Stegostoma tigrinum: one gene and its partners. The protein of the gene in region 2 purifies or fractionates together with the protein of the main gene of each other region. This does not show direct contact. Links are inferred from orthologs where the notes say so. Each region holds a gene or a part of one and is shown on either strand. Other genes may lie near its edges.

The links.
Region 1: the proteins of sf3a1 (region 2) and sart1 fractionate together in Homo sapiens (co-fractionation; 3 studies listed by BioGRID and IntAct, with this or other methods). This does not show direct contact. The link is inferred for Stegostoma tigrinum from reciprocal best matches to the Homo sapiens genes SF3A1 and SART1.
Region 3: the proteins of sf3a1 (region 2) and snrpb2 purify together in Homo sapiens (affinity purification with mass spectrometry; 5 studies listed by BioGRID and IntAct, with this or other methods). This does not show direct contact. The link is inferred for Stegostoma tigrinum from reciprocal best matches to the Homo sapiens genes SF3A1 and SNRPB2.
Region 4: the proteins of sf3a1 (region 2) and xab2 fractionate together in Homo sapiens (co-fractionation; 3 studies listed by BioGRID and IntAct, with this or other methods). This does not show direct contact. The link is inferred for Stegostoma tigrinum from reciprocal best matches to the Homo sapiens genes SF3A1 and XAB2.

The regions. Positions count from the first base shown.
Region 1 is NC_081395.1:7,241,349-7,249,456, reverse strand, and holds the start of sart1 (U4/U6.U5 tri-snRNP-associated protein 1), read right to left. Parts: upstream 3,062-8,108; 5' UTR 2,774-3,061; coding exon 2,533-2,773; intron 1,909-2,532; coding exon 1,854-1,908; intron 1,404-1,853; coding exon 1,348-1,403; intron 1-1,347. UniProt on the Homo sapiens protein: Plays a role in mRNA splicing as a component of the U4/U6-U5 tri-snRNP, one of the building blocks of the spliceosome. May also bind to DNA.
Region 2 is NC_081379.1:23,031,854-23,039,270, forward strand, and holds the start of sf3a1 (splicing factor 3A subunit 1), read left to right. Parts: upstream 1-4,175; 5' UTR 4,176-4,266; coding exon 4,267-4,320; intron 4,321-5,932; coding exon 5,933-6,045; intron 6,046-6,133; coding exon 6,134-6,335; intron 6,336-7,417. Other genes in the region: ccdc157 (coiled-coil domain-containing protein 157), read right to left, coding at 946-1,193. UniProt on the Homo sapiens protein: Component of the 17S U2 SnRNP complex of the spliceosome, a large ribonucleoprotein complex that removes introns from transcribed pre-mRNAs.
Region 3 is NC_081371.1:23,724,832-23,732,832, reverse strand, and holds the start of snrpb2 (U2 small nuclear ribonucleoprotein B''), read right to left. Parts: upstream 3,062-8,001; 5' UTR 2,948-3,061; intron 2,687-2,947; exon of another isoform or gene 2,586-2,686; intron 1-2,585. UniProt on the Homo sapiens protein: Involved in pre-mRNA splicing as component of the spliceosome. Associated with sn-RNP U2, where it contributes to the binding of stem loop IV of U2 snRNA.
Region 4 is NC_081388.1:13,420,367-13,427,694, forward strand, and holds the start of xab2 (pre-mRNA-splicing factor SYF1), read right to left. Parts: upstream 3,098-7,328; 5' UTR 3,019-3,097; coding exon 2,983-3,018; exon of another isoform or gene 2,909-2,982; intron 1,710-2,908; exon of another isoform or gene 1,451-1,709; intron 679-1,450; coding exon 530-678; intron 1-529. UniProt on the Homo sapiens protein: Involved in pre-mRNA splicing as component of the spliceosome. Involved in transcription-coupled repair (TCR), transcription and pre-mRNA splicing.

The DNA of each region.
Region 1 (8,108 bases), on a different chromosome or scaffold from region 2:
CAACCCACCGCAATGCCCTGGAACGCGTCCAAGATGATGGCTCCAAGCCTCTGAGGTTTTGGACCTTACAACCTCCTCTAAGTCTAGCAGTAAGAGACTGTTGCCTTCTCAGCTGTGAAGCTGTCAACCTTAAATTGAAGGGTAAAAACACTAGGGGAAAAATAAAAGCTCCATCTGGTTTTTGTCTCGAGGTCCAAACTCTCATTCCATTTTCAAATGTCAGAGCACCAGGACTCTGTCCCAAATCTCTCGTGAGTGGCCTGCTCTTCCCCTGAAGGCTTTCTAACCCTAAAGCCAGCACCACCCTCACCTTCATTCTCACACAACACAGGAAGCCATTTAGCTCACCGTGGGTCTCCTTTTGAAAGAGCGATTCATTTAGTCCCAGTCTCCTCCACACCCAGTTTACAGAGCCCCTGCAGGGTGTAAGTAGGTCATTCGGCCCAACTGGTCCACACTGCCCCTCCGAACAGCACCCCACCCAGACCCATTCCCCTACCCCTACATTTCCCACCTTTAGCCCACCCTAACCCGCACATCCCTGGGCACTATGGGACAATTTAGCACGGCCAATCCACCCTAACCTGCACATCCCTGGGCACTATGGGACAATTTAGCACGGCCAATCCACCCTAACCCGCACATCCCTGGGCACTATGGGACAATTTAGCACGGCCAACCCACCCTAACCTGCACATCCCTGGGCACTATGGGACAATTTAGCACGGCCAATCCACCCTAACCCGCACATCCGTGGACACTATGGGACAATTTAGCACGGCCAATCCACCCTAACCTGCGCATTTCCGGAAACCGGAGCACCCAGAGGAAACCCACGCAGATGCAGACAGTCGCCCGAGGGTGGAATCGAACCTGGGTCCCTGGTGCTGTGAGGCAGCAGTGCTCACCGCTAAGACACCGTGTTCTTGTCCCGCAGTCCTGGAATTGGGACTTTTTAAGCTCAATTATTTATCTTCAAAAGTTCCCACTGAATCTGCTCCCACCACCCTTTCGTGAAGCACTTTCCAAGTTACAACAACTCTGCACTTCAGAAAAAAAATCTCATTTCCCACTCTTCAGATTCCCTTCACCCTCCTGTCAGTAGAATTAATCCCCCAGTCCTTGCGTGATCACAACCAGTGCTGTTTGCCAGCAAATCTCGCCTCAACCCTCCCCCCGCCACCTCCCCCAGGTAACTGAAGTCACTCGTAGCCTGGGTCCTATTTCTGCTCAACTCTGTCTGCAATCGATCCAGAACGGCCCTTTCAGTTCAACTGTTCGGTCCCTCCGATACCCGTTCCCCCTTTCTACAGCACAGAAATCACTTTCAGAACAAACTGGACTCACTCTTTTTCGAATCATTTACTTCCAGGGGTTTGAGCCCGAGCTTGGCTCTCAGCTTGCTGCAGAGAACAGAGGACAATTAGATCAGAAGGCTTCACTTTTCTATAAATGCCGATCACAGGGCCAACCGCGAGCATTTGACGGCCAATCAAGCAATTCTGAAATCTGCCAGCCATCCTGCGCACAGCAAGCTCCCACAAATAAGGATGACAATGACAATGCAGCGATACTAATGCTGGGTGGTGAACGAACGCTGGCGCTAAGGACACAGGCAGGATGCTCGTCCTTTGCTTCTTAGCTATGGGATTTTTTTTATAAATAACCGACCCAACAAGGAAGATGGGGCTTCAGTTTAACACGATAGCGTGGAGCTCCCTCAGCGCTGACCCTCCGACAGTACAGCGCTCCCTCGGTCCCGAAAGGGCAGCCCTGTGCCTCTCATGTGTCCCACAGTCACCACCACAGATCAGATGGACCGAATGGCCCGAGACTGCTGCAAATTCACTCACTTTGTTTCTTCGATGCTCAAGGAGGCGCTCGCAGCACCAGACTTTGTCCCTGGAGCTGAAGGTGAAGAGAATGTGCAGTGAGAACAGGTTCACTCGACATGCAGCACATTCCTAATCGCTGACCACAACCACCCCCTGGAATCCAGGAGTGTCCAAAAGCTTAAAGCTTGCTGCAGGGACACATCCGCAGGAGGCTTGCACACACCTCCAGACTGCTGCCCGCAAAGACCCTCACCCGACAATCCCTCCCAGTGCCCTACTCCTCACTTGGAGGGACCCTGTCTGTACCAACCTCACCCCGGCTGGTATAGGGGAAGGGGTACCCCTTCCCCTGGCACCTCACTGCAGAGAGACCCCAACCTTCCCACCAACCAGGACATGGAAAGTGGGGGGGACTCTGGCCCCAGTCCTCAAAGATGGAAGGGGCTTTGGCCCCGATCCTTGCTCGTGCCAGGGTCAGGGAGCGACGCTGACCCTCAGCCGCACCCCCCAACGCAGAGAGTAAGAGATTCTGACACCAAAGCCCACCCTGAACGGATAGGGAAGGGGGGGAGGGGGGGAACATGAGACACTCTGGCCCCCCAGCCCGTGCTCTGCCCCAGGGGGGTCTGCAGATTCCCTACCCTAGGCCGTTTCCCACCCCCACCCCAATTACTCTCGTCACCCCGGCATCTCTGACCTGCCTCCTCGGTCTTCTCCCTCTTGGGGTGCCGTTCTGGCTGGGCGTCGGCGGCTGGTGCGGGGAGGGGTCTCTTGTCCCGCTCGCGGTCCCTGTCCCGGTGACGGCGGCCCTCCCTCTCCCGGCTGCCCCCGCGCTGCTTGCGCTCCTTGTGTTTGTGCTTCTTGTGGCGGGCCGACTCCTCCCCACCCCCTGAGCCCCTCTCCCTCTCCCTCTCCCGGTGCTTCTTGGAGGATCCCATTGTCCGCCTTTAAACCCCCCACAAACCCCAATCCCTGTGTCTGTCTGTGTGTCTGTGTGTGTCTGTCTGTCTGTCTCTCTGTCTCTGTCTGTCTGTCTCTCTGTCTGTCTGTGTGTGTCTGTCTGTCTCTCTGTGTCTGTCTGTCTGTCTCTCTGTCTGTCTGTCTGTGTGTGTCTGTCTGTCTGTCTCTCTGTGTCTGTCTGTCTGTCTCTCTGTCTGTCTGTCTGTGTGTCTCTCTGTCAGTGTGTCTCTGTGTGTCTCTCTGTCTGTGTGTCTGTCTGTCTCTCTGTCTGTCTGTGTGTGTCTGTCTGTCTGTCTCTCTGTGTCTGTCTGTGTGTCTCTCTGTCTGTGTGTCTCTGTGTGTCTCTCTGTCTGTGTGTCTCTCTGTCTGTGTGTCTCTGTGTGTCTCTCTGTCTGTGTGTCTCTGTGTGTCTGTCTGTCTCTCTGTCTGTGTCTGTCTCTCTCTGTCTGTCTGTGTGTCTCTCTGTCTGTGTGTCTCTGTGTGTCTCTCTGTCTGTGTGTCTCTCTGTCTGTGTGTCTCTGTGTGTCTGTCTGTCTCTCTGTCTGTGTCTGTCTCTCTCTGTCTGTCTGTGTGTCTCTGTCTGTGTGTCTCTGTGTGTCTGTCTCTGTCTGTCTGTCTCTGTCTGTCTGTCTCTGTGTGTGTCTGGGGGGGTGGTGCAGAGATGGGTCTGACAGCAGCAGGGGGCGCGCACTCGATCACGCGCAACTCACCGCAGACGCGCGCTCTCTCACACGGCCCACGGCGGGAGTGGGGGGCGGGGGTGAGCGCGCTCTACACGCACCCGCGGGTGGTGGGTGCGCGCGCGCACTAACTGTCGGTCGCGCGCACCACGGCTCGGCTGTCCCGGAAAACGCGCGGTCACGCTCCCGAGAGATGGATGTTTGACGAGGGAGAGGGGGGACGACGCGCGTCCCAGGTCGGTCACGCGCGCCCCCGGGAGCGCGCGCAATCACAGAAAAGGGGGGGTAGGCGCGCGCGCTGAGGTTCGGCGGAGGGTGGGGGAGCGAGCGACAGGGTCGCGCGCTCGCAATCGACGGGGGCGCGCTACATCCCGCGCTTGTGGTTCACGCGCTGTTAGGGAGCTCCGAGCCGGGAACGCGCGCCGTTCACCGAGGCCGCGCCTTTCGGGGTTTAGTGGCGTGCGCGCTCCCCTCCCCGTCGGACACGCGTGCCGCGCGCGCTCCCGTTGCCGGGACCGGTGTCTCCTCGCGCTCCGGCCGAAAGACGTCGCCTCCGACTAAGATGGCCGCCACTTTCCGGTTGACCCTTCACCCCGTCCCCTCTCCCTAAACGTCACATCCTTCCCCGCCCTCTTAAAGCGGCAATTTACCCGCTTTTTTAAAAAAATCGATTATGTTTCCCTCCTAATCGTCTCTTCACAATAAAATGTTTTGGCTACAGATTCCGGCACGATTTCTCCATCCACTTTCACACTTCTACTGCTGAGTCTATTTAAAGTTGTACAATGGAAAGTATTCCCCCTTCTAAAGCCCTCAATCCAGGCCACTCTCTCCACACTCAGCACAACCTCATTGATCTTCAGCAAACCGGCCTCCAAATGCATCCGACACTGTTTAATTCAATAACTTTTTCTCCCAGTAGGGAGAGTGAGTGTATTGACAGAGTTTTATGTACAGTTTGGAGCTGTAGAGGGAGCTTTACTCTGAATCTAACCCCGTGCTGTCCCTGGGGAGTGTTTGATGGGGAACGGTGTTGAGGGAGCTCTACTCTGTATCTAACCCCGTGCTGCCCCTGTCCTGGGGAGTGTTTGATGGGGGACAGTGTAGAGGGAGCTTCACTCTGTATCTAACCCTGTGCTGCCCCTGTCCTGGGCAGTGTTTGATGGGGAACAGTGTAGAGGGAGCTTCACTCTGTATCTAACCCCGTGCTGTCCCTGTCCCTGGGAGTGTTTGATGGGCGGACAGTGCAGAGGGAGCTTTACTCTGTATCTAACCCCGTGCTCTCCCTCCCCTGGGGAGTGTTTGATGGGGGACAGTGCAGAGGGAGCTTTACTCTGTATCTAACCCTGTGCTCTCCCTGCCCTGGGGAGTGTTTGATGGGGGACAGTGCAGAGGGAGCTTTACTCTGTATCTAACCCTGTGCTCTCCCTGTCCTGGGGAGTGTTTGATGGGCGGACAGTGCAGAGGGAGCTTTACTCTGTATCTAACCCCGTGCTCTCCCTGCCCTGGGGAGTGTTTGATGGGGGACAGTGCAGAGGCACCTCTAAGTGCGATGTGATCACTGTAGCTGAGTGTTGGGGCATGGATTGAGGCGAATTAACTGGCTTCGTGAAACTATCATCATTGCAATAATTCTGACATCCCCGATCATCCTCTTGGGACGTGGGGTCGATTCCTACTGCGGCAGAAGAAAATTAAACGGGATAATTGCGGAGTTGAAACCCCCATTCTGAGTTTCAATTCTGTAGAATAAAAATAATCTGATCACTGACGACCTTTCGAGAAGGAAACACCCGAAGCAGTGACGTGCTCCCGCTTCTAAGCAATTGTCTCTTAACTGGCCTCCGAAATGGTCAAACAAAAATTGAGGACGGTCCACAGACACGTCCACGAGAGCGAAATAAATGAAAGTGAGTTAGTTTGAGTCCGTGCCGCTACAGTGGACCGCAACGAGGGGTGAGAGCGGGGATCAGAAGGGATGGAAGGAAAATATCACCAAGACAACACCCAGGTTCAGCCGGTAAATGGGAAAGCAAATGGATTGCTGGCTTTTATCTCAAAGGGAATGAAGTGTCAGATATTATGACGACCTGCTGAAACTAAGAGGAAATATCGAAACGTCAGCCTTCCTGCTCCTCAGGTGCTGCCTGGCCTGCTGTGGTCATCCAGCTCTACACCTTGTTATCTAATTGACAGTTTTTTAAAAAAATTCATTTTGTGGGACGAGGGTGAACTACACAGTAAATGGAAAAGTCCTGGGGAGAATTGATGAACAGAGAGATCTGGGTGTTCAGGTCTATTTTTCCCCTGAAGGTGACAACGCAGGTCAATAGAGTGGTCAAGAAGGCATACGGCATGCTTTCCTTCATTGGGCAGGGTATTGAGTACAAGAGTTGGCAGGTCATGTTGCAGTTGTGTAGGACTTTGGCTTGGCCACATTTGGAGTACTGTGTACAGTTCTGGTTGCCACATTACCAAAAGGATGTGGATGCTTTGGAGACGATGCAGAGGAGGTTCACCAGGATGTTGCCTGGTATGGAGGTGCTAGCTATGAAGAGAGGTTGAGTAGATTAGGATTATTTTCATTAGAAAGACGGAGATTGAGGGGTGACCTGATTGGGGTCTACAAAATCATGAGGGGTATAGACAGGGTGGAAAGCAAAATGCTTTTTCCCTGAGTGGGGGACTCAATTACTAGGGGTCATGAGTTCAAAGTGAGAGGAGGAAAGTTTAAGGGAGATATGCGTGGAAAGTTCTTTACACAGAGGGTGGTGGGTGCCCGGAACGCGTTGCCAGTGGAGGTGGTAGACGCAGACACGTTAGCGTCTTTTAAGATATATCTGGACAGGTACATGGATGGGCAGGGAGCAAATGGACCCGACCGTTAGAAAAGAGATGACAGGTTAGACCGAGGATCTTGATCGGCGCAGGCTTGGAGGGCCAAAGGGCCTGTTCCTGTGCTGTAGGTTTCTTTGTGGGCGTCACTGGCCGTGCCCAGTATTAATTGCCCTGTCCCTAGTTGGCCTCCGTGAGGTGGGGAGCTGCCTTCTTGAGCCGCTGCAGTCTGTGTGCCGTAGGTAGACCCACAATATCCCTTAAGGAGGGAATTCCGGGATTTTGACCTCAAACGGTGACGGAACAGGCGATACACTTCGAAATCAAGATGGGAAGTGGCTCGGAGGGGATTGTGCAGGGGGTGGTGTTCCCATGTTCCTGCTGTCCCTTGTCCTTCTGGATGGAAGTGGGTGGTGGGTTTGGAAGGTGCAGTCTGAGGAGCCTCGGTGAGTTTCTGCAGGGCGTCTTGTAGATGGTAGACACTGCTGCGACTGAGCGTCGGTGGGGGGAACCTTTTTGGTCTCCCTCTTGGGGAAATGATATGTTGGCATTAGGAAGTAGTCCAGAGAAAGTTCAGTTAGTTGATACAGGGTACAGAGTTAATTTCTTTTGAGGAAACGTTAAGAAGGTTGCGCTGGGAATAAAATGAGGAGACCACATGGATAAATACAAGATTGTAAGGGGTTTGACAAGGTGGATGTGATTTTCATTGTGGCATAATCTCAGAGTAAGTGTTGCCCAATTAAGAGGAAGATGCTTTTTTCTCATCAGGGAATGATGAATCTGGGCTATTTCTTACAACAGACAGCTGTCCAGGTTGGTTCGTGAAGTACGTTCAGGTCTGAGGGTGACATTTTTCGCAGCAGGGGAGTCAAAGATTATGGGGACAACGCAGGAGAGTAGAGTTCAGGATTGTCAGATCAGCTACCATTGCATGGAATGGAAGAACAGTCTCGATGGGCCGAATGGTCTATTTCTGCTCCGAGGCCTCAAGAGGAGAAGCCGCGTCAGCACTGGGATTGAGCGCGGTCGTGATATGCTCCGCGGAATAAAGAGTTCGAAGTTAGATTCTTCACCCACAACTCGGTTCCTAACAGTGAAGTGTTTATTTCTGAAAATTCTTATAAAACCACAAACAACCGTCAGAAACAAAGAAAAGATTCACCAGGTCCACCACCGGGAGGGCCTCGAACCGTCAGGGTGTGTGTCAGGCGCGAGGTAGCCTCAAGAGGCAACAGCAGTGTAGAGGAGACAGCTGGTGAGGCCAGGGTGGAGCTCATGGCCTGGAGCAGAAACCGGGCAAGTCCTGTGTGTGTGTGTGTGTGAGTGCGTGTGTGTGTCTGTACATGTGTGAGTGTGTGTGTGAGTGTGTGTGTGTGTGTATGTGTGAGTGCGTGTGTGTGTATGTGTGAGTGCGTGTGTGTGTGCGTGTGTGAGTGCGTGTGTGTGTGTGTGTGTGCGTGTGTGTGTGTGAGAGGGAATGTGTGTGGCTGGTGTGTGTTTGTGTGTGTGTGTGCATGTGTGCGTGTTTGTGTGCCTGTGTGTGTGTACGTGTGTTCATGTGTGTGTGTGTTTGGGTGGGTGTGTTCACATGTGCATGCTTGTGTGACTGTGTGCGTGTTTGTGTGCCTGTGTGTGTACGTGCGTTCATGTGTGTGTGCGTGTTTGTGTGCCTGTGTGTGTTTGGGTGTGTTCATGTGTGTGTGTGTGTGTGAGTATATACATGTGTTCACGTGTGTGTGTGCGTGTTTGTGTGTGTACGTGTGTGTGTGCATGTTTGTGTGTGCCTGTGTGTGTG
Region 2 (7,417 bases):
CTCATATCATTGCTAGATATTGATCACTCTTTCTCCCAGCTAGCCCATTACCCAATTTTAAGAAAATTATAGTACAGAGATAAGTTAGTCCAATGCTAATAATCTCATATTTCATCTTTTTTGTGTCAAACCTGCCAAGAATTTCCATTAATTCTCTTCTTTGTTACTTACAACTAATTCCTTATCCACCTCTAAGATTTCCCCAAGATACCCATCCTTTTAAGGTGATATAGCAGTATTCCAACCATAGTTCAACCAAGGTGTTTGGCTTTCTGAAAGGATGGTACTCGGTATTACAGGACTTTCCATTATCAATTTGGGATATGTCACAAAGTTTCGAGGGGAAAGATTGCTTCTGGATGAACAGGTCTGGACAAACAAACAAATTTATTTAATCATTCTCTTGAAAATAGTTATTTTATTATTCAAATGTTTTTTGGATCACTAAATTACATTTGATGACATTTAATTAATATCATAAAATTTAACCTTGGAATTTAAATCTTTCAACACCTGTTTTTATGTGGTCCGGGATCAACAACAGCCTGTGAACAGAGTTGCTACAACAATAAAAGAAATAGACAATATTTGTACAGGTACTTCCAAAATATTTGAGTAATTTTCAAAAACTCCATTCAGAGAAATCAACATCTCAGCATAGAACAATTACTGAAAACAGCAGCAACAGAACAATGTAAGTAAGTGTGGATCTTAGGCATATCCTCATTGAGTATTACCTCAATTAATGAAAAATAAGTCACTTCTATTTTGGCAAAATTGAGGCACAAAAATAATGGGTTAAGTGGTCAGAAGGAAGTAAACATCTGCTGACATTCTATGTGCATGAGGCATTACCACTGTAGATTGTGATTGTTTCCAGCATGAATTATTGTGAGCATGTTTGGTACTTTCTGGAGAAAAGCCAAAGAACAACTTGTACCTTACCTGTCAATCACCAACTCAAATAGCACAATATGAGAATGCTGTGTGAACTCTGGGTCATCTTCTACATAATCAAAACGGTTCAATAAAGTAACAAGATCCAAATCACATGATGTTTTATCTGGAAACTTCCATGATGGATAGCGAACTGCACCAACTCGTGAAAATACATCTATGATTATCCCTTGTACATCTGTGACATCCTTGCGCAAACCATCCAAACAGTTTTGATTTCCTAAAAGTAGTGTCATTTTAATGGCCTTGAAATCAGAATATGAAATGCACCTTCTTATGAAAATTGAAACTGCTATTTCTGTATAAAGTATCTGAGCCTGTAATAATAACTCCACGAGGGCAATTTATCTGCAAGAAATAGAAAATAATTAGATTAAGAAAGTTGATTCAACGATTTTAAGCAAATATCACCTTTAAGTTGTAATTTAATGTAAATACAGTATTGTTTACTTTGTACTAACCTTATAAAATATCTGCTACCAGATTAAAAATATTTTCACACGACTTAATGCACAATATGATCTACAAATTATTGCAAGTATAAGTCTACATACAAAGCAGTAATATTTAATATGTTGGCAGTTGCTGTCAAAAGAATTGACAGAATTTTACACGAACCACAGTGATAATGAACGTTCATAGTTTTCCAGTAGTGCTGGTTTACTAATATCACACATGACAATAAAAATATCTGCCCAACAGCCATTACTACTAATATTTATGTTTCCTAAATGAAAGAATTAGGCATGGAATTCAATTTTTGGGTAATTTAAAAAATTATTTCCTGAAGTTAATAGTTGTTTATTAACAATAGGATTTAATGGAACTGATGGAGGGGGAAAATGCAAGTCCCTTACACCATGCTTTATATGCAGAAATTGCAACCATTCTAACAGCTTTCTGATTTATAATTCTGCAGTAGAATGTTGTATTGGAGTAATCACAATTCTGTAGCCTTGATTGAGAACAAAACCAACTACTGTTATAGATACAAAAGCATCTTGGTAATTTCTGCATCTTGCATAAATACTTAAAAAGATCCTTCTTTACATTATTTTTCTGGAGGAATTCAGTGGAAGGAGGGATGACAGAGGAAATTAGATAAGGCTCATTATTCATCGTCCAAGAAGTTGAAGTAGTTGTTTGGGGCTGACAAAGAGAAGAAAAGATTATATTTGGCAGCAGTGTCTTCTATTGTTTAAAAAAATCTGCTCACACGATGAAAGAGTCAGTTGGACGAAGAATCAACAGTTAGCATGTTCATGGGCCTTCTTGGGATTCAAATACTAGGTCGTATAGGTTTAAGGTGAGGGGGCCAAGTTTAAAGGAGATATGCGAGGCAAATTTTTATTTTTACACAGTGGGTGGTGCGTGCCTGGAATGCACTGCAAAGAAGAGTGGTTAAGCAGACACAACAGCACTGTGTAAGAGGCATTTAGACAGACACATGAACAGGCAGGGAGTAGAGGGCTAAAGACTATGTGCAGACAGATGAGAATAGTTTAGAACAGCATCATGGTCAGCACAGACATGTTGAGGCAAAGAGCCTGTTTCAGTGTTGCACAGTTCTATGTTCTATCTTCCGACATCAGGAAAGATGGACCAAAAGCAGCATTTCCCAAGTCAATTTGTCCAGCATCATGACTGATCAATTAAAACTAGCTCGATGAGGTAAGACATGTTGTTCATAGCCTGACACCAGGCTCCTGAAGCAACTGCTCTACTCAGAACTTGCTTATAAGAACATAGGAACAGGAGTAGTCCTTTGAACTTGATCCACCATTCAATGAGACATGGCTGATCTGTGGCCTAAATTCCCACATACCTATCTTTGGTCCACATCCCATTAATACCTTTGCTTAACAAAAATGTATCTACCTCAGATTTAAAATTGGCTACTGATTTAACATCAATTACTGTCTGCAGAAGAGTTCTAAACCTCTATCACCCTCTGTGTGTCTAGACGTGCTTCCTAACACCTCTCCTGAATAGCCTGCCCCTAACTTTTAGACTACATACTCCTTGTTTGAAAATTGCCAGCCAGCGGAAATAGTTTACCTTATCTATTCTGTTGCAAAAGGAAGACTGTGGAAATGCTTTAGGCAGTCCTTAAAACACCCTTAAAGAGGTCAAACATTCCCCTCGACCTGGCTTGTGTGGGAACCAAAATAAGAAGATTCATTCAGGAAATCGCTGAACACATGCAGAAACCTTGTTGAGACGAAGTCAAGGTTTTGGGTAAAACCTCCAAACGATTCCTGCACCCCCAGGCAGTCAGTCAGTCAGTCAAACAGCACCAACTTTGCCCCACATGTAACAGACTTTGCAAATGGGTGCATTGGACTGCTTGGACATTTGAGAACCAATGGAAGTGAGTCAGCATCAGTCCCAAAGCACTGCCTCAGATGGAATAGTATCTAGAGGGGAGGTTGGGGGAAGGGACATTGCGGTGGAAGGAAGAAGCACCTTGAGGAAGTTTAAGGGAAAAGCACTTCAGGAAGGAGAAGGAAACCTCAAGCAGGAGGGGGATGGAGGACGAATCACCTCGAGGAAGGGGAGGGAAACACATCCTCAGAGGGCGGGTGTGGAGAAGAGGAGCACCCCCAACGGACGTGTTTGGTCATGGTGGGGGGGGACGGGGGGGACGGCTGCATTTCAAAACCTCAAAGCACCCACGCCCCCCTCCGCATCCCACTGAGCCGAAATTTGCCCCATATTGAATAAGCAATGAATCATTCATTTGTTAGCACCAGGGTTCCAAGCCCAAGATATATCGCGGCGGCAAGAAGTGGCATGATGGGAATACGCTGGACAAATAATTTTAGGTATGAAGTCCTAGAATCAAGTTTCACCGACTCCAAAGGTGCGCCTGATGAGGTTGATTCAAACTTCGTCACTGAGCCTGTACCTACCTGCGATTGACCGTTAGCTTCACTCCGGCTGTTGACTACGTGCTGTCATGGACGCACGTAACGTAACTGTAACGTCATCGTGCGTTTACGTACCTGCTCGTCATAAGACGTAAGGACTGTGCCAGGCAAACTAACAACAAACACGAGACTTTACCGTTCAAACATAATAAAAACAGTATTATAAGAAAAGTAGTGAATAATTAAACGGTGGTGAGAGATGGAAACCGAATTAAATGTGTGGGAAGAACTTTTATGTTATGTGCATATCCCATTTCCCCCCCCCCATGAAGAGGTGGATGGTGCGGGCCGTAGCCGCCATCTTGTTTAGCCCGAGTTTTGTTCGCGGAACGGCTGGGGTGGGGGATTGCACTTCTAAACCCTGTTCGGTGCCGAAGCCATGCCGGCCGGACCTGTACAGGCGTTGCCGCCACCTCAGACTGAAAATAACCAGGTGGGTTTTAAAACAGAAAGAGGTTTCAAAAAAAAACCTTGGCCCGGTGTGGTGCCCCCCCCCCCCCCCCATCCATGCCAGAATAAGAGAAAACTGAGGCCTCCAAACCGCAGGCTCTGGGCCTGGAACTCGCATATTGGTCTTGGATCCCCGGATTCCGAGCTCGTGGCTATTATCCTTTCTCCAGGCTGTATTATCTGTTGGTTATGCAAGCTGAGTCCTGGAAAAATCTGTCAGGCGCACGATCAAATAATTCACACAAAATTAAATGCGAAAGAACTGTGGATGTTGTAAATCGGGGACAAAAACAAAGTTGCTGCAAAAGCTCAGCGGGTTTGGCAGCATCTGTGAAGGAAAAAAAGCGTTAATGTTTCTGATCCGGTGACTCTTCCTCCAAATGTGTGTAAATAATCCACACGTTGGCGGAATGTTAGTCTGATTTATCACAAGTGTCCGGTCGTTCAGAGGCAACAAGGGCTGTGTTTATCATGCATTAAAATCGGCCGTGTTGTCAGCCTGCAATCCGGATGGTTATACGTTACTTAAATAAATCCCTTCGTCCAGCCTGCACACATTCGTAAACAGTTGATAATGGGAAATACGATACTTTGAAGTGCTGAATATTGTAAAACAGCTTATGTTAAAAGACTTTAGTATTACAACTATTACTGATTACTTTTATAGCATTATGGTATTGTCATTAAAGTAGGTGCGGATAAAAGTTTATCTGTCAGTTGGACGGAGAAGATGGAGGTGAACAAAGTACACTACAGGGCACCTAAATTGTAGTCAAATTGTATATTCTCGAGTTCATATGGTCCAGATGTGCTCGATCCCAGTACAACAGTAAATAATTAGCATGGATCTTTACGGAACTAACAAGTTTTCATTTGCCCAATACAGTATAGGTAGAAAAACTGAAAAGAATGCACGTGTTCCAAGTCCAAAAATCTTAGGCAAAAAAATCCAAAAAGTAATATTGTTTGCTTTGCGGAGGGGTGATGGCAATTTATGATGAGTTAAAATTGTGCAGTCTACCATCACAAAGCACTGAAATATACTTTGCTGCTTGCCCAGGTAGACCACCTTTGTAGCATATTGACTGTAATGATATCTTCAGCTAACTAGGGAGAATTCTGTACCCCTTTGGCAGCTGTAATCCATCAATGAGACAGATTAGCATAGTGCTTTGGAGTGCTGTGCACTTGTCTGGTTTTAGTTTTTGCAGTATTTGAAAATGTTGTTCTCAGATATGTGATTTTGGAGCTGTATTAACCTGTTTACTCCAGTCCAGACCCCAGCATGATGATTGGACAACTGGTATGTCAAAACAGTTGGGGAGGTAGCGACTTCCTATAATTTACCTCAACGGCTTGGTCATCAGCATAAATTGTGCTGAAGTATATGTGCTGTTGCCATCCTAACATAGCATGAGTGTTTTTATTTCAACGAATGATGTGTTTTGGCGGTTAATTGGAACAAAAGTGTCATTTCTACAATCTGATTCTGTCATCTGCAGACATGAACTTATGATTATGATAATTTTTAAAGTCATTAAGCTGCTTAAAGATGATTAAGAATTTAGTGACACTTGTTTAATTTTCTTTTAAAGTTGCCAGAAGAAACAAAAGATGAATCTGCAACATCCAAACCCATTGTTGGTATTATTTATCCTCCTCCTGAAGTCAGAAACATCGTAGATAAGACTGCAAGTTTTGTAGCGAGGTGAGTGCTAAATTCCAACAACTGCATGTTGTATTTGCTATACTAAACCCTTTGAGTTTAAAAGTGCAAATCATTTTGCTTTGATTAGGAATGGTCCTGAATTTGAAGCTCGAATCCGTCAAAATGAGATAAACAACTCCAAGTTTAACTTCTTGAATCCAAATGATCCTTACCATGCATATTACCGGCACAAGGTTAATGAGTTCAAGGAGGGGAAAGGACAAGAACCTTCAGCTGCTATACCGAAGGTTATGCAGCAGCAGCAGCAGCAACAACAGCTGCCGCAGAAGGTGAGTAATTTGACGGTAATGATAGTTTGTAATTATGTAAATACTTCTTAACAGATAAATGTCTTGAAACATTTCACATGAGTATTAATAAATGAAATTTGACACTGAATATTCTGAGTAAATATCAGGATGGCTAATCGACAACTTGATCAAAAAGGAGGATTTTGGGGAGCATCTCAAGGGAAAAGAGAGCATTTAAGGCAGTGGCTTACAGAGGGAATTCCATACTTATAGCCTTAGCAATGAAAACATGGCTGTGGAAGGTGGAGTAATTAAGATTAGGAAAAGGAGGACAGAATTGAAGACACAGATTTTGGAGGGTGTAATGCTGTTAGAATCCTCTGAAATGGGAGGGGTGACTCCATGAAGTTATGGTGTAAATTTTATATGAAAACTAAAAATGCCGTAATTACTCAACAACACTGGCAGTATCTATGGAGAAGGAAGAAAGATTTAACATTTCAGTTCTGACTTTGAACCACCAAATTTTTATTACAATGGAGAGTGCAGGAGGGCATGCCATAAGCAGCACCAGGCATACCTAAAAATGAGGTGTCAACCTGGCAAAGCTACCAAACAGCATGAGCAGCAAGTGATAGACAGAGTTTTGTGACCCCGCAATCAATATATTAGATCTAAGCTCTGAAATCCTGCCACTTGACATCATGAATTGAGATGGACAACCAAACAACTCACTGGAGGTGGAAGCTCCATGAATATCCCCATCCTCAATGATGGAACAGCCCAGCACGTCCGTGCAAAAGATAAGGCTAAAGCATTCACAGCAGTCTTTAGCCAGAAGTGACAAGTGGATGATCTGTCTCGGTTTCCTTCAGTGCCCCCTAGTATCACAGATGCCAGTCTTCAGCCAATTTGATTCACTCCACATGATATCAAGAAACAGTTAGAGGCCATGGCTACTGCAAAGACTTAGGGCGCTGACAACATTCCAGCAACAGTACAGAAGACTTGTGCTCCAGAGCCTTCCACTCGCCCAGCCAGGATGTTCCAGTACAGCCAAAGCACTGGTATTGCTGATAATGTGGAAAATTGCCCAGGTATGTTCTGTACAAAAATCAGGG
Region 3 (8,001 bases), on a different chromosome or scaffold from region 2:
AGTTATTAGAAAAGCTTAACAATCAAACTGAGCCCACACAGTTCTGTAAAAGGGGAATCATGTTTGATAAATTTGGTAGCGTTCTTTGGGGATATAACAAGCAGAGTTGAGAAGGGGAACCAAAAGATATAATATGTTTGGATTTCCAGAAAGTATACGATAAGGTGCCCCATAACAGGTTAATTACAGAATCACACAGCATGGAAACAGATTCTTCAGTCTAACTTGCCCATGCCAACCAGATATCTTAAATTAATCTAGTCCCATTTGCCAGAATTTGGCCCATATCCCTCTAAACCTTTCCTATTCACATACCCATCCAAATGCCTTTTAAATGCTGTAATTGTACCAGCCTCCACCCCTTCCTCTAGCAGCTCTTTCCACGTAGGCACCACCCCTTGTTTGAAAAAGTTGCCCCTTAGGTCCCTTTTAAATCTTCCCCCTCCAACTTTAAACCCATGCCCTCTAGTTTTGGACTCCTCCACCCTTGCCTATTCACTCTAGCCATCATTTTATGAATCTCTAAGGACACCCCTCAGTCTCCAATGCTCCAGAAAAAATAGCCCCAGCCTATTCTGCTTCTCCCTCAAACTCTCCAACCCTGGCAACATACTTGTAAATCTTTTCTGAGTCCTTTCAAGGATCACAACATCCTTCCTATAGCAGGGAGACCAGAATTGAATGCAATATTCTACAAGTGGCCAAACCTATATCCTGCACAGCTGTAACACAACCTCCCAGCTGCTATATTCAATGCACCGACCAATAAAGGCAAGCATACCAAACACCTTCTTCAATATCCTATCTGCCTGCCATTCCACTTTCAAGGAATCATGAACCTGCACTCCAAGGTCGCTTTATTCGACAACACTCCCCAGGATCTTACCGTTACGTATATAAGTCTTACCCTAATTTGCCTTTCCAAAATGCAGGGGCTCACATTTGTCTAAATTAAACTCCATCTCCATGACACACAGGGCCATCTGATCAAGGTCCCATTGTACTGTGAGGTAACCTTCTTGGCTGTCCACTTCACCACCAATTTAGGAGTCAATTATCAGTCTGAAAAGCAATTCTTCACCATCACCCTCTGTCTTTCTGTCTTCCACCTTTGAAGCAGTTCTGCATCCAAATGGCTAGTTCTCCCTGTATTCTATGCGATCTAACCTCACTACCAGTCTGCCATGCGGAACCTTGTTGAATCCATTCTGAAGTCCATACAAATCACGTCCAACGCTTTGCCCTCAATTCACTATGTTACTTTTTGAAAGTAGTTCTCAGTACTGGAGGCAATGAATTAAAATGAGAAATGTTGGTTTACATGCAGAAGACAGAGAGAGCCAGGATTAAGGGGACTTTTTCAGGTTGTAAAAGATGCAACTAGTGGAGAGCTGCAGAGTCTCAAATATTATCCATCAAGCTATCAATATTGATGGCTTGGCAGGGTCAAAGTGTAATATATCCAAATTTGCTGATAACACAAATATAGGTAGCAGTGCATATAGTGAAGGCAAAGAATCTGCAAGGGAACAGAGAATGAGAGAGTGGACAAAACCTTGGCAGACAAATTTAATGTAACAAATTATCAGGTCAAAAGGCAGACTATTATTTAAAATGGAGATAGACTCCACAAGACAGCAACATAGGATCTGAAAGCTTTTGCAAATGAAATGCAATAATATAGCACGCAGCTTCGACAAATAATTAAGGCGACAAACAATTTTTGACTCTATTGTTCAGGGTCAGAAGTTAAAAACAGGGAAATTATTACAGCTGGGTACAGGGTGAGGCTGCACATGGAGTACTGTCTTTAGTTTTGGTCCATGTATTCAGGAAAGAATATACTGGCACTGCACGTAGTTCAAAACAGATTTACTAGGCTGATTCCTGGGATCTGGCCTTAACTTATCAAGCAAAGGCTTAGGCCTTTATAGAGTTTAGAAGAACAAGGGCTGATCTAATTGAAACATCTTAGATGGTGGGTGGGCTTGACAAGGTAAGTGTTCAAAAGATTTTACCATTGCTGGGAGAATCACAAACCATTGTCAGGTGTTCTCTGATTCCACAATGGATTTTTAAAGAGATGACTATCCCCCTTTCAGGAGGGTTGTGAATGTCTAGAAATCTCCATCCGAGATAACTGAGCAGGCTAGATGAAAGGGTGTAGGTCAACCCACTTACTACCCCAATAGTAACCCAACTAGTATTTATTTCGGGACTTTTTCCCTTTCTTGTTTACATGCTTCCACACTTTCACTCTTGTTCTCTCAACCTCTCTACTGCATGGAAAAGCAACGTTACGATATCCAAAAACAGAAGAAACATATTTTTTATTTAAATGTAGCTCTGACCTCGCCCATCCATCCCCGAAATTTTGGTCCGCAAACAATTATTTCAAGATGCTCTTAGCCTCCACATGTTAAAACACAAACTCCTCCAAAACTTGGCAACACGTATCCCATCGTAAACTCGGTTCCGCTCACCTCTCACTGTGACCGCGTTACTACGGTGGCTTCTAGACTACTCAATCTAAAATTCCTGTTTAATTCCTTTCTTTAGTTTACCTCTAAGCTCCTACAACTCACCGCACTAATGTTTTCCGACCTTCTCACATACTACATTGCATTCACAGGCTTTCAGCTCACCCCGCCAGGCCCTTCCTCATTCTTCCTTTCGGTTTCAGTTTATTTCTGAACATCTCTGGAAAATGCTACGGGATTACTGACGGCGGGAAAGAGGAGTTGCTGCTTCTAGGTTACTACAAACCAAATACGTAAGGTGGACTACAACCGGCATAGTGTTTCCTCAAACCCGACTGCAACTACACGCCAAACACACTTGGAACACTGGAGACAGCAACCGAGACCAGTTTTCGGTCGGAGAAGCAGACTATTTTATTAAAGTGAGCAGTCCCATTCGCCGACCCCACCGAAGCACAACTCCATACCTACTCCTCACTATCACGCTCACGAGGGTTTTTACTTCTCGATCTTTCTCCGACTCGCGCGACCGACCATCCGCGTCGCGCGTTGATGACCTCTTCAACGCGCGACCAACCATCTGCGTCGCGCGTTGATGACCTCATCAAACCGCCCCGTGCTGTTTTGAGATAATGAAATGTGAGGCTGGATGAACACAGCAGGCCAAGCAGCATCTCAGGAGCACAAAAGCTGACGTTTCGGGCCTAGACTCCATCTCTGATGAAGGGTCTAGGCCCGAAACGTCAGCTTTTATGCTCCTGAGATGCTGCTTGGCCTGCTGTGTTCATCCAGCCTCACATTTTATTATCTTGGAATCTCCAGCATCTGCAGTTCCCATTATCTCTCTCTCTCTCTCTCCCATCTCAATTAGTCCCGTTTATCTCTATTTGGCTCATATCACTATAAACTTTTCCTTTTCATATACCCACCCAAATGTATCTCAAATGTCGTAACTAAACCTGCATCTACCATTTCCTCTGGCAATTCATATGAGTAAGCTAACTGGTGATATAAAAAAGATTGAATCACCAGTATGCTTAAATTCACCCAGCCTCAACGACCCAATATGAAAGTCTACAACGCGTCCTCACCCAAGGAAAGGATTAAAATCTGATGTCCCATCCCCAGTTCACTGTGGAGTGCACCCCCAAAAAAACTACCCCATGACTTACACTCCTTATCTTTCACGTTGCCCCCTTCTGAGCCTTGTTAAATTAGCTTGTCAAATTATCTTGCGACTTTAATATCATGGAATAGACCAATTACTGCCTCAAATAGGGTGTAACTTACAATGCTGATCCTATGCAGAATAAAGAGTGCAGTAGCAATGCAAAGGCGATCGCCACTCATCAGAAGATCCAGCTGTTAGCAAAGGTTGCCAGACCTGGAGAGCATTTCTAGCACTTTGTTTTAGTTTTATATTTCCAACATTAACAGTATTTTGGTTACATAGTGAGCTATGGTTCTCACAGTCCTGAAGATAAAATTCAGTCCTAAGTAATTTTGCAGCTCTCTGAATATCTTCCATCTGAGCGTTCAGTGGTGTCTATTGGTTCAGAGATAGTAGGAACTGCAGATGCTGGAGAATCTGAGATAACAAGGTGTAGAGCTGGATGAACACACAGGCCAAGCAGCATCAGAGGACCAGGAAGGCTGACATTTCCAGAAGGGTCGAGGCCCACAACATCAGCCTTCCTGCTCCTCTGATGCTGCTTGGTCTGCCATGTTCATCCAGCTCAACACCTTGTTATCTCCACTATATTGGTCATTTGTTACATGTTGGTTAATTAAGGATTGACATGTACATAATTGCAAATTTTGATTAGTAAACAATAAATAAATAATAGATGCAAACAGAAAGCAGGTCTGACAGCATCTGTAGAGAGAAAATAGAGTTAGTGTTTTGGGTCCAGTGACCCTTCAGAACCGATCATAGCTAGGAAAAGGTTGGCATTTATGAAGAAGATGAAGTGGGGGAGAAGGGGAAGAGTAAACAACAGGTGGAGTTGGAAACCAAAGACAGACAAAGGAATGGGTAAAGGTCAAACTGGGAGATTGAATAGCTGCTAATGGGAACTATTAGTAGCTGTCAATGAGTTATGCGTTGTCCTTTCCCCAGTTCCCTGGCTGGCAGGGACCTCAGATAGGTCCAGCCCAGCTCCTGCGCTTCAGCTCTCATGCCCTTTCTTCCCACCCACAACAACAGAGTCCGCATTGTCCTCTCCTAACATCCCACGAGAATCCACATCTACAGGATCATAAACAACTGTTCCTGCAACCTCCAGCGAGATGCCACCAGTAGATACATATTCCCTTCCCTGTTACCTCTGGAATACCTTTGTCCACTCCTCCTTCATTCCAAAAATGTACCCGTAGCCCTACGGCACCATCCCCTGCAATTACAGAAGGTGTAGCACCTGCCCATTGACTTACTCCCTCCTCACCATTCAAGGCCCAAACCCACCTTCCAGGTGAACCAGCGCTCACACAATCTAGTCTACTGCATTTGCTGCTCACAATGTAGTCTCCTCCACATTGGGGAAAGAAAGAGCTGACTGAGTGACCACTTTGTTGAACACCTGCATTCTATCCACAAAAAAAACTGAGTTTCCCATTGCCTGCCACTTTAACACTCCAGCCTGCTCCCTAGCCAACATCTCCGTCTCTGACTTGTTGCAGTGCTTCAGCAAAGCTCAGTGCAAGATGGAAGAAAGGCACCTCATTTTCTGCTTGGGAACTCTGCAGCCTTCTGGATTCAATACAGTTCAACAATTTTCGGCCTTGAGCACCTTCTCCTATGTCCTTACCCCAACCCCCACACATCAGGCTTTCCCATCACAGGCTGCTACCACACACAACCCATTGTTAGCTACTAATAGTCACCATTAGCAGCTATTCATTCTTCTAGATTGACCTTTACTCATTCTTTCATCTATCCAACTGTTTCTCTGTCTTTGAGCCCCATCTTCACTTATCATTTCTACTACCCACTACCCCACAACATACAAACAAACCTTTACCTAGCTACCATCATTTCTGAAGAAGGGTCACTGGACCCAAAATGTTAACTCTGCTTTCTCTCCACAGATGCTGCCAGACCTTTTGAGATTTTCCAGCAATTTCTGTTTTTGTTTCTGATCTCCAGCATCGGCAGTTCTTCCGTTTTTTTTGTTAAATGAATAATAGACACTAACTTTCGGAAATGTCATGTCAGTGTTTATAAGGCCATCAAATGGAGCAGCATAAGTAAGCCATTTAGCCCATGACTTTGGTCCGTCACTCGATGAGACCATGGCTAATACAATAATCTTTCATCTTTAAACCCAGATCTGATAACTGTTATGTTCACACAATGGAAGTATGTTTTCTTTAATCTTTTGTTGTTAAAATAGTCAGCCAGAACCAGAGTGTGAATTTTATCCGATCATTGTAAACAGTTTTTTATTTACACTTATATAGTACCTATAAAATAGTAAAATATCACAAGTTGCTTCATACTGAACTATCTATGGGATTAAATGAGGAAAAGATTTTAAGAAGGTTTTAAGGAGAATCTTAAAGAATAAAGAGAGTTGAAGAGGTACAGAGGTTTAGGGCACAATGTTAGTCAAACTCATTGGTAGCACATTCACCATTGAATTAGAAGATTGTTGTCTCAAGTTCCACTCCAGACTTTGAGCAAAAAAACATACTGACATTCAGCGCAGTACTGCTGAACTGGGGGAGTGCTTAAGTGTCAGTAGTGTTGTGTCGGATGAGATCTTAAACACAGGCTGTATTTGCCCTCATATGTGGATGTAAAAAAACTCAAGGCACAATTTCATAGAAGAGTCAATGAAGTTTAGAACATAGAACAGCACAGCACAGAACAGGCCCTTCAGCCCACGATGTTGTGCCGACCATTGATCCTCATGTATGCACCCTCAAATTTCTGTGACCATATGCATGTCCGGTAGAGGAAAAGATAAGTGGAGAAGAATCCCAGACAGAGAAAACACCAGTTGGACAGAAAAAGGAATTGGTAAAGGCTAGTGTGGGAGAATGACTAACTGCTAATGGGGACCATTAGTAGCTGACAATGAAATGGTTGGGGGTGGGGTGGTGTGCACTTAGGCACAAACATTATTGAACTTTATGATAGAGTCCAGAAGGCCACAGGATCGCCAAAGAAAATGTGGTAGTGTTTCAGCAATTTCCTTCAATTTTCCAACAAATCATACAGTTCAAAATCTTCCTTTCCTTCAACTCCAGCACCCCGCCAACCCCAACCCCAACCTCTGTCATGCATTTACTACCCCTTCTGACCTTCCGCTCTCTGAATGTTTTGTACTCAGTAAAGGTCTTAGTTTTATTCCCCTGCACTCCCACCTTCATGCATTACTGATACAATATGACATTGAACTCTTTGTCCATTGCCTATGCCTCTATGCCTATTTCTTTGGACAAGAGTCCTCTTCTGAGGTATTCTGCAAATATTTCTCCCTCAATCAGTATGACAAAGGCAGATGTATTAGTCATCACATTGGCATTTTTGGGAATTTGCTGTTTACAAATTGGCTACTGCATTTTCTCCAACAGCAGCTGCAGTTTAAAAATACTTAATCAGTTGTAAACAATTTGGGTTATCTGGTGTTTACGAAAGGTACTATATAACTGAAAATCCTCCTGTAGAATTGAGGTGTAGGTACAGTACATCATGGTGATACAATTATAACTAGTCAAGTCTAAGAGTTCAGGTAGTACTTTAAGTACAAGTAATGGCATATTATAAGAAGTGTATTCATTAAATAAAGAGAGACAAATAATAAATAGGTGAATAAAGCATCAGTTACAGTGTTCTATATACGAATGCATGGAGCAGAAGGAATAAACTAAATGAGCTGCAGGCACAAATTCAAATTAGAAATTATGATATAATCGCCATTACTGAGACATGGCTGCAGGATTGGGAACTAAATACATAATTTTATAAGGTTTACAGGACAGACAGGTAAAATAGTGGAAGAGGTGGAGTAGCCATATGGATTAGACATAAGAGATAACAACGTGTAGAGCTGGATGAACACAGCAGGCCAAGCAGCATCAGAGGAACAGGAAAGTTGACGTTTCAGGTCAAGACTTGTTTATTCCTCCCCTTTTCCGCCCACTTCATCTTCTACATAAACACCAACCTTTTCCTAGCTATGATCAGTTCTGAAGAAGGATCTCTACCCAAAACGTCAGCTTTCCTGCTCCTCCGATGCTGCTTGGCCTGCTGTGTTCATCCAGCTCTACACCCTGTTATTTCAGATTCTCCAGCATCAGCAGTTCCTACTATCTCTGGATTAGACATAAGAATTGTTAGACATATTAATTGTGACAGGGGCAAAGCATTCTGTGGAGACCGTTTGGGAGGAACTGAGGAAGAGTAAAGCAAACAGCAAAGGATCTAAAACTGTAATAGATGTTGCATATCAGCTCTGATGTGCTAGATTGTATAAATGCAGAAATTAAGCAAGTTTGCGGCAAAGCTAGTGTCATA
Region 4 (7,328 bases), on a different chromosome or scaffold from region 2:
TCAGATGCACATCATTAAAGTGCTTCACTAAGTGAGCTGACCGTACACCTCTGAAGCAAAAGCTCCAAGTGGGCGAAAGCTGTTAATTCCAGTTACATGTAAACCACTGCTATCAAGGATTATTAAAAACACCAGCAACTGACACATCACAAGGCAAAATTCTTTTGCATAAACTGTGTGATTGATGCAGACAAGATACAAAATTTGATCTATGCTTAATCTTTGATCTTTTGAACAAACCATTAGCTTCTGTTAGTGATAGTAGGAACTGCAGATGCTGGAGAATCTGAGATAACAAGGTGTAAAGCTGGATGAACACAGCAGGCCAAGCAGCATCTGGGGAACAGGAAGGCTGACATTTGTCTAGGCCCAAAACATCAGCCTTCCTGCTCCTCTGATGCTGCTTGGCCTGCTGTGTTCATCCAGCTTTACACCTTGTTATCTCAGCTTCTGTCAGGTGTTGATCTCAAAAGTCTCTAATGCCCCCATGTAATCACTAGACCTTGTTGCTTCCACTAAGAAACAATACCTGCCAGGAAGTTCTTTAAGCGCTCTCTCGTAAATCATGTTCACCACATGTATGGGTGCAGACTGCTTAAACTCTATGTAGCGGATCCAGCATTTAACAGAGTAAGGATTGCGAATGATCTCTTCTTCATATGGCAGATCATCATCTTCCTGTCAAAGAGATTCAAACAAGTGGACAGAATGAAGCCCAGGGGATGCACGCAAGTCACCAGCTATCAGACTCTCGGGGAAAATGTGGCACTGACAGCATGTAAAATGTCACCTTTGACAACACAAACAGCAACTTGATAAAGTAAAACTGATCTGTCACTATCAATTTATCTATTACAAAAAGTTCTTCGAAACTTCTTTGTGAACTTTCTAACGCACTTCTGAAGAAAGAAAATGTTTTTGTACTTAGCATTTAACTTGGAATTATACAATTAGTTCACGCAGCAATTTGTGTTCAGCTTGGTGTTACTTGTAACAGCCAAGCCCAAGCTGTAACCAAATGGCATATCAAGAATTTACAATCCTGACACTCCAAATGTATTTTGGGAACACGAACAGCAAGACTGAAGTATTTGACTTGAGCAACAAACAGCAATTTTGTAAACATTTGACAAAGGATAGTTGAAGACAATCTTTTGCTGGGGCTGCCCTGTTTATACAATGTTTACCAATGCAGTAAGGTACTTAACTGGTATCAAATCTCAGGTTTCTTTTCCACAACTGTCGTATCTGCTGACAATCATTTTTAAGTCGACAAGTTAGGTTTACAGAATTAAAGATTTGTAGGCCAATTTTCAGCATTCAGTGCAAATATAGTTTTTGAGAAGTATCTTCTTGAAGCTGAGTACTGCAATCTAAAGAACTGAAGTGTAAACTATGGAAAAGAATCATCTGTCAGTCGCAAAATGCTTCCTTCAAATGTATTACTTACTGAAGCTATTGTTGATTACACGTCATTTGAGTTCAAATCCCAGTCTAGGATTTCAGCACAATATTCAAGGCTGATGCTCCCAGCTGAGTCCCGAAGGAGGGCTGTGCTGTCAGTGCCACCACTGTTCACACAAGGTCAAAAGGTCACTGGTGGGTCAGCAGGAGTTGGTATTGCCATTACCTTTCTGAATGGTTGAGCAGACTTAAAGAGAGTCATACAGCATGGAAACAGACCCTTTGGTCCAACGCGTTCATGCCAACCAGGTGTCCTAAACTGAACTAGCCCCATTTGACTGCGTTTAAACCTTATACCTCTAATCCTTTCCTTTCAATGTACCTGTTCAAACGTCTTTTAAATGTTGTAATTGTACCCGCCTCTATCATTTCCTCTGACAGCTCGTTCCATACAGGTTGAGGATTTAAATGACCTATTCCTGCTTCTATTTCATATATTCATAAACTGAGGCTCTGTCAGCTCTAGCAGGTGAATGTGAAAGATCCCATGGTGCTATTTCTGAGCACTGGTATCTCTCCCCAGTGTCCTAGTCAGCTAACATGACATAATGATCTGCTCATAATTACACTGCTATCTGTGGGAGCTTGCTGTAGAACATATAGCTGCTGTATTTCATATCTGACACGAGTGAAGCACATCATTGGTCATGGAGTGCGGATGAGATGTTGGTAGGCTGGCTCAGTGGTTAGCACTGCTGCCTCACAGTGCCAGTGACATGGGATAACAAGGTGTAGAGCTGGATGAATACAGCAGGCCAAGCAGCAGCAGCATCGGTGCCGGAAAGCTGACGCTTCGGGCCTAGGCCCTTCCATGGGCTTGATTCCACCCCCAAGCAATTGTCTGTGTAGAGTTTTCACATTCTCCCTGTGTCTATGTGGGTTTCCTCCCACAGTCCAAAGACGTCCAGGTTAGGGTATACTGGCCATACTACATTGCCCATAGTGTTCAGGGTTGTGCAGGCTAAGTGGGTTAACCATGGAAAATGAGGCTGGGGAGGTGGTGATGAGTGAGTGGTATCTGGATGGGATGCTCTCCGGAAGGTCAGCGAGGGCTGAAAGGCCTGCTTCTACACTGTAGGGATTTTGAGGCTGAAAAAAGGCACTATATAAATTCAAATTCTTCCTTTCACATGCCGGCTCTCTCGAGGGCGAACAAATTACCTCCGATCAGCCAGTAGCAATATGACTGCCTGTCAGCTCCAACAACTACTGAGCAGCAACACAGAGACAGTGTAAAGAAGCTCACTTTCACTTGGGACTCTGAAATCAATGTGGTTGACAAAACTGGGGCAGCTGCTCTGCGACTTTACTTATTAAGTCAAAACATAGAAAAGAGAGAAAAAGTAGGACCATACGGTTCCTGAAGGGGAAGTGATAAAGAAGCCGTTAATGCCGTGGGAGACCAACAAAATAAATCGAGGCCGAGGCTTCAGCTGAGGCCTACCCTCAAAGACCAGCTCAGCGAACAAGGAATGTTGAATTCGGAGCTGTCATCTCGGAGTTATACGATTCACTTACAAAAATAACATCGTGTTTCTGTAAAAAAACGCTCATTTTGCCCCGCGGCCGCAGCCTACGCCGAGGCTTCGAAAAGGCGTCGAACCCAACCTAAGGCCCAGGGAGCAAACCCTATCGCCACTCTGATTGGTGGACATGCCGAACGTCATCAACATCCCGCCCATAGCGGCAGGTGGTTGGATAACATTGTCGATCGACAGGCATATAGACCAATAAGTTCACGATGCCTGCACGTTGGGCTGTTAATACCACCGGTTTCGGCAGTTGATTGGACACGGCAGAATCCGTTTCTGATTGGATCATTTCCGCGGGGCGACGACGCATATTCCGATTTCTATTGGACAAGACAAACTGATTGACACGGAAACACGGATAGTGATTGGACTTGTCAGTTGATACCGCCCCTATTGGGTCTGATGGTAAAAACTGAAAGGATTGGGGATGCTATAAATCTGGAACAAAAGCAGAGGTGGTTGGAAAAGCTCAGCAGGTCAATAATTTTAGGGCCTAAACTGTCCTATATCCCAGCTTCCCAACCCCACATACCAAGCCTTGTTACCACACACTTGTTCACCTGCACATCTGCCAATGTGGTATACTGCATCTGCTGTACCTGGTGTGGCCTCCTCTACATTGGGGAAACCAAGCAGAGGCTTGGAGACCGCTTTGCAGAACACCTCCGCTCAGTTCGCAACAATCCACTGCACCTCCCAGTCGCAAACCATTTCAATGCCTCCTCCCATTCCGCAGATGACATGTCCATCCTGCGCCTCCTGCAGTGCCAAAAAGATGCCACCCGAAAGCTGCAGGAACAGCAACTCATTTCCGCTTGGGAACCCTGCAGCCCAATGGTATCAATGTGGACTTCACAAGCTTCAAAATCTCACCCCCCCCCCCCCCCCACTGCATCCCAAAACCAGCCAAACTTGTCCCTGCCTCCCTAACCTGTTCTTCCTCTCACCCATCCCCTCCTCCCACCTCAAACCCCCACTCCCATCCCCTACCCACCAACCTCATGCCGCCTCTTTGACCTGTCCGTCCTCCCTGGATCAAACTATCCCCTCCCTGATTCCCCACCTACATTCATCTTTACTGGCTCCATCCCTGCCTCTTTGACCTGTCTATCTCCTCTCACCCTATCTTCTCTTTTATCCATCTTCTATCCGCCTCCCCCTCCCTCCCTATTTATTTCAGAATCCCCTTACCTTTCCCCATTTCTGAAGAAGAGGCTCGACACGAAGCATCAGTTTTCCTGCTCCTCTGATGCTGCTTGGCCTGCCGTGTTCATCCAGTTCTGTACCTTGTTATCTCAGATTCTCCAGCATCAGCAGTTCCTACTATCTCTTGTTACCACATAGCCTGCCATGTTATAACTTCCTGTTAGTAGTCAGTAACTATTCACCCTCCCAGCCAGATTGTAATCAACTCCTTTGTCTGTCCAACTGTCTTTCTCTCTCTTTGGGCTCAATCCTATTGTTTACTCCCCACCCCACTCTCTATTTTCTGCATATAAACTGACGTTTTCCCAGCCACCCTCAGTTCTGAGGAAGGGTCACTGGACCCTAAACGTTACTCTGTTTTTTCCTTCACAGATGCTACCAGACCTGCTGAGCTTTTCCAGCAACTGTGTTTTTGTTGGGTATGACGGTAAATAGGAGACTGTAACTGGTTTACACACAATGTTCGACAAATTGCATTAATTGTATTAGTCCTCTGGGTTAGAACAAGAACCTGACATGTGGCCATGTGGTACAGCAGTAGTGCCTTTTCCTTTCAGCCAGGAGACCTGCGTTCAACACCCACCTTGCCCTGGAGGTTTTAATAAGAGGTTTCACATCTGAATAGGTTGCTTATGGGGTAACAATCTAGAGCAAGTCTATGTGGTGCAGTGGTAAAATCCCTACCCCTGATACAGGAGGCCTAGATTCAAGCCCTTCCTGCTCCAGAGTGTGTAAAACATCACTGAGCTGGTTAATATAGAAAATGACCAGAACAAAGCAACAAATGTGAGATTCGTTGCTGACATATATTGAGATGTCTATGAAAACGGTGATGAGGTTTGGAATGCTTGCCTTCATTGGTCGGTGCATTGAATATATGACTTGGGATGTCATATTGCAGCTGCACAGGACATTGGTTAGGCCACTTTTGGAACACTGCATTCAATCTTGGTCTCCCTGCTGTAGGATGGATGTGAAACTTGAAAGAGAAGATTTTTTAAAATTTTAAAAACTGAAAGAACTGGAGGATGTTGCCAGGGTTGGAGGTTTTGAGCTTCAGGGAGAGTTGAATGGGCTGGGGCTATTTTCCTTGGAGTGTCAGAAACTGAGGGGTGACCTTATACAGAGTTTGATAAAATCATGAAGGGTATGGATAAAGTGAATAGCCGAGGACTTCTCCCCAGGGTAGAAAGTCCAAAACTAGACAGCTTAGGTTTAAGGTGAGAGGTGAAAGATTTAAAAGTACACCTTGCACTTTTAAATGAGCTCTTTTGGCAGCTCATTCCATACTGAATGAGTATGGAATGAGCTGCTGGAATTGGTAGCTCATTCCATACTCATTCAGTACGGAATGAGTTGCCAAAAGAGGTGATGGAGGCTGGTACAATTGCAACATTTAAAAGGCATTTGGATGGGGGTACGTGAATAGAAAGAGTTTAAAGGGATATGAGCTAAATGCTGGCAAATGGGACTAGATTAATTTAGGATTGCTGGTCGGCATGGGCGAGTTGGACCAAAGGGTCTGTTTCCATGCTGTACATCTCAATGACTCTAAAAGCCAAAGATGACTTTATTTACTTATTTATTATCAGCATCTAAGGGCATTGACCCTTTCTTGGGTTAGTGCCAGAGGCAAGGACGTGTTGGAGAAGGCACAGCAAAATTCATAAAGGGCGAGTGAACAGACGGAAGACATTAAACACACAGGTACCATTGACATAGGTTGAGGAAGGGATGAGGTTTTACAGGGAGAACACAGGGAGTTAGGCAGGAGGTTAAAAAGCAGGAGCTCAAGGGTAGTAATCACTGAATTACTCCTGGTGCCAAATGCTGGTGACAGTAGGAATAGGAAGATAGGGCAGATGATTGGGTGGCTGAGGAGCTGGTGCAGGAGGCAGAGATTCAGATTTTTGGATGATTGGGATCTCTTCTGGGGCAGAAGTGACCTTTTCAAGAGGGCTGGGCTGAACCTGAACTGGAGGGGACCGTTAACCTGAGAAAATGTGTCTCACAAACTTGATGGAGTTATTTGAAGAGGTCACGAAGAAGATAGATGAAGGCAGAGCGGTAGATGTTGTCTACATTGACTTTAGCGAGGTATTCGACATGGTTCTGTGTGGTAGGCTGCTTAGTAAGGTTAAGTCACATGGGATCCACAGAGCGTTAGCCAATTGGATACAAAAATTGACTTGATGGTAGGAGACAGAAAGTGGATGTAGAGGGTTGTTGTTCAGACTGGATGTTTGTGACCAGCAGTGCGTGCAAGATAGGTTCTCAGTCTACTGTTTGTTGTTTATATTTGTGATTTGGATGAAATTTTAAGAGGTATAGTTACTAAATTTGAAGATGACACTAAAGTTGGTGGTGTGGTCGATAGTGAAGAAGGTTACCTAAGAGTACAATGAGATCTTGATCAGATGGGCCAATTGGCCGAGAAGTAGCAGCTGGAGATTAATTTAGTTAAATCAAGGTGTTCTATTTTGGTAAGGCAAAGCAGAGTAGGATTTTATGTCCAACAGTTGATGATAGGGGCCTGTGGAATGTTGTTGAACAGAGGAACCTGGGGCGCAGGTTTGTAGTTCCTTGAGAGTCGCGTTGCAGTTACATGGGGTGGTGAAGAAGGCATTTGGCATGCTTGCCTTCATTGGTCAGTGCATTGAGTATAGGAGTTGGGAAGTCATATTGCAGCTGTCAGGACATTAGTGAGGCCACAAATGGAAATACTACATACAATTCTGCTATAGGAAGGATGTTGTTAAACTAGAAAGGGCGCAGAAAAAAATTTACAAGGATGTTGCAGGACTGAAGGGTCGATTTATAAGGAGAGGCTGGATAGGCTAGAACATTTTCCATGAAGCACTGGAGACTGAAGGGTGACCTTACAGAGGTTTCCAAAATCATGAGAGGCACGGATAGTGTGAATAGTCAAGGTCTTTTCCCCAGGGGAGGGGAGTCCAAAACTAGAGGGGCATAGGTTTAAAGTGAGAGGTGAAAGATTTAAAAAGGACCCGTGGGGCAACCTTTTCATACAGAGGGTTGGAATGATTGAAATGAGTTGTCAGAGGAAGTGGTAAGAGGTGGGTACAAATACCATATTTAAAAGACATTTAGATACATCCATGAATA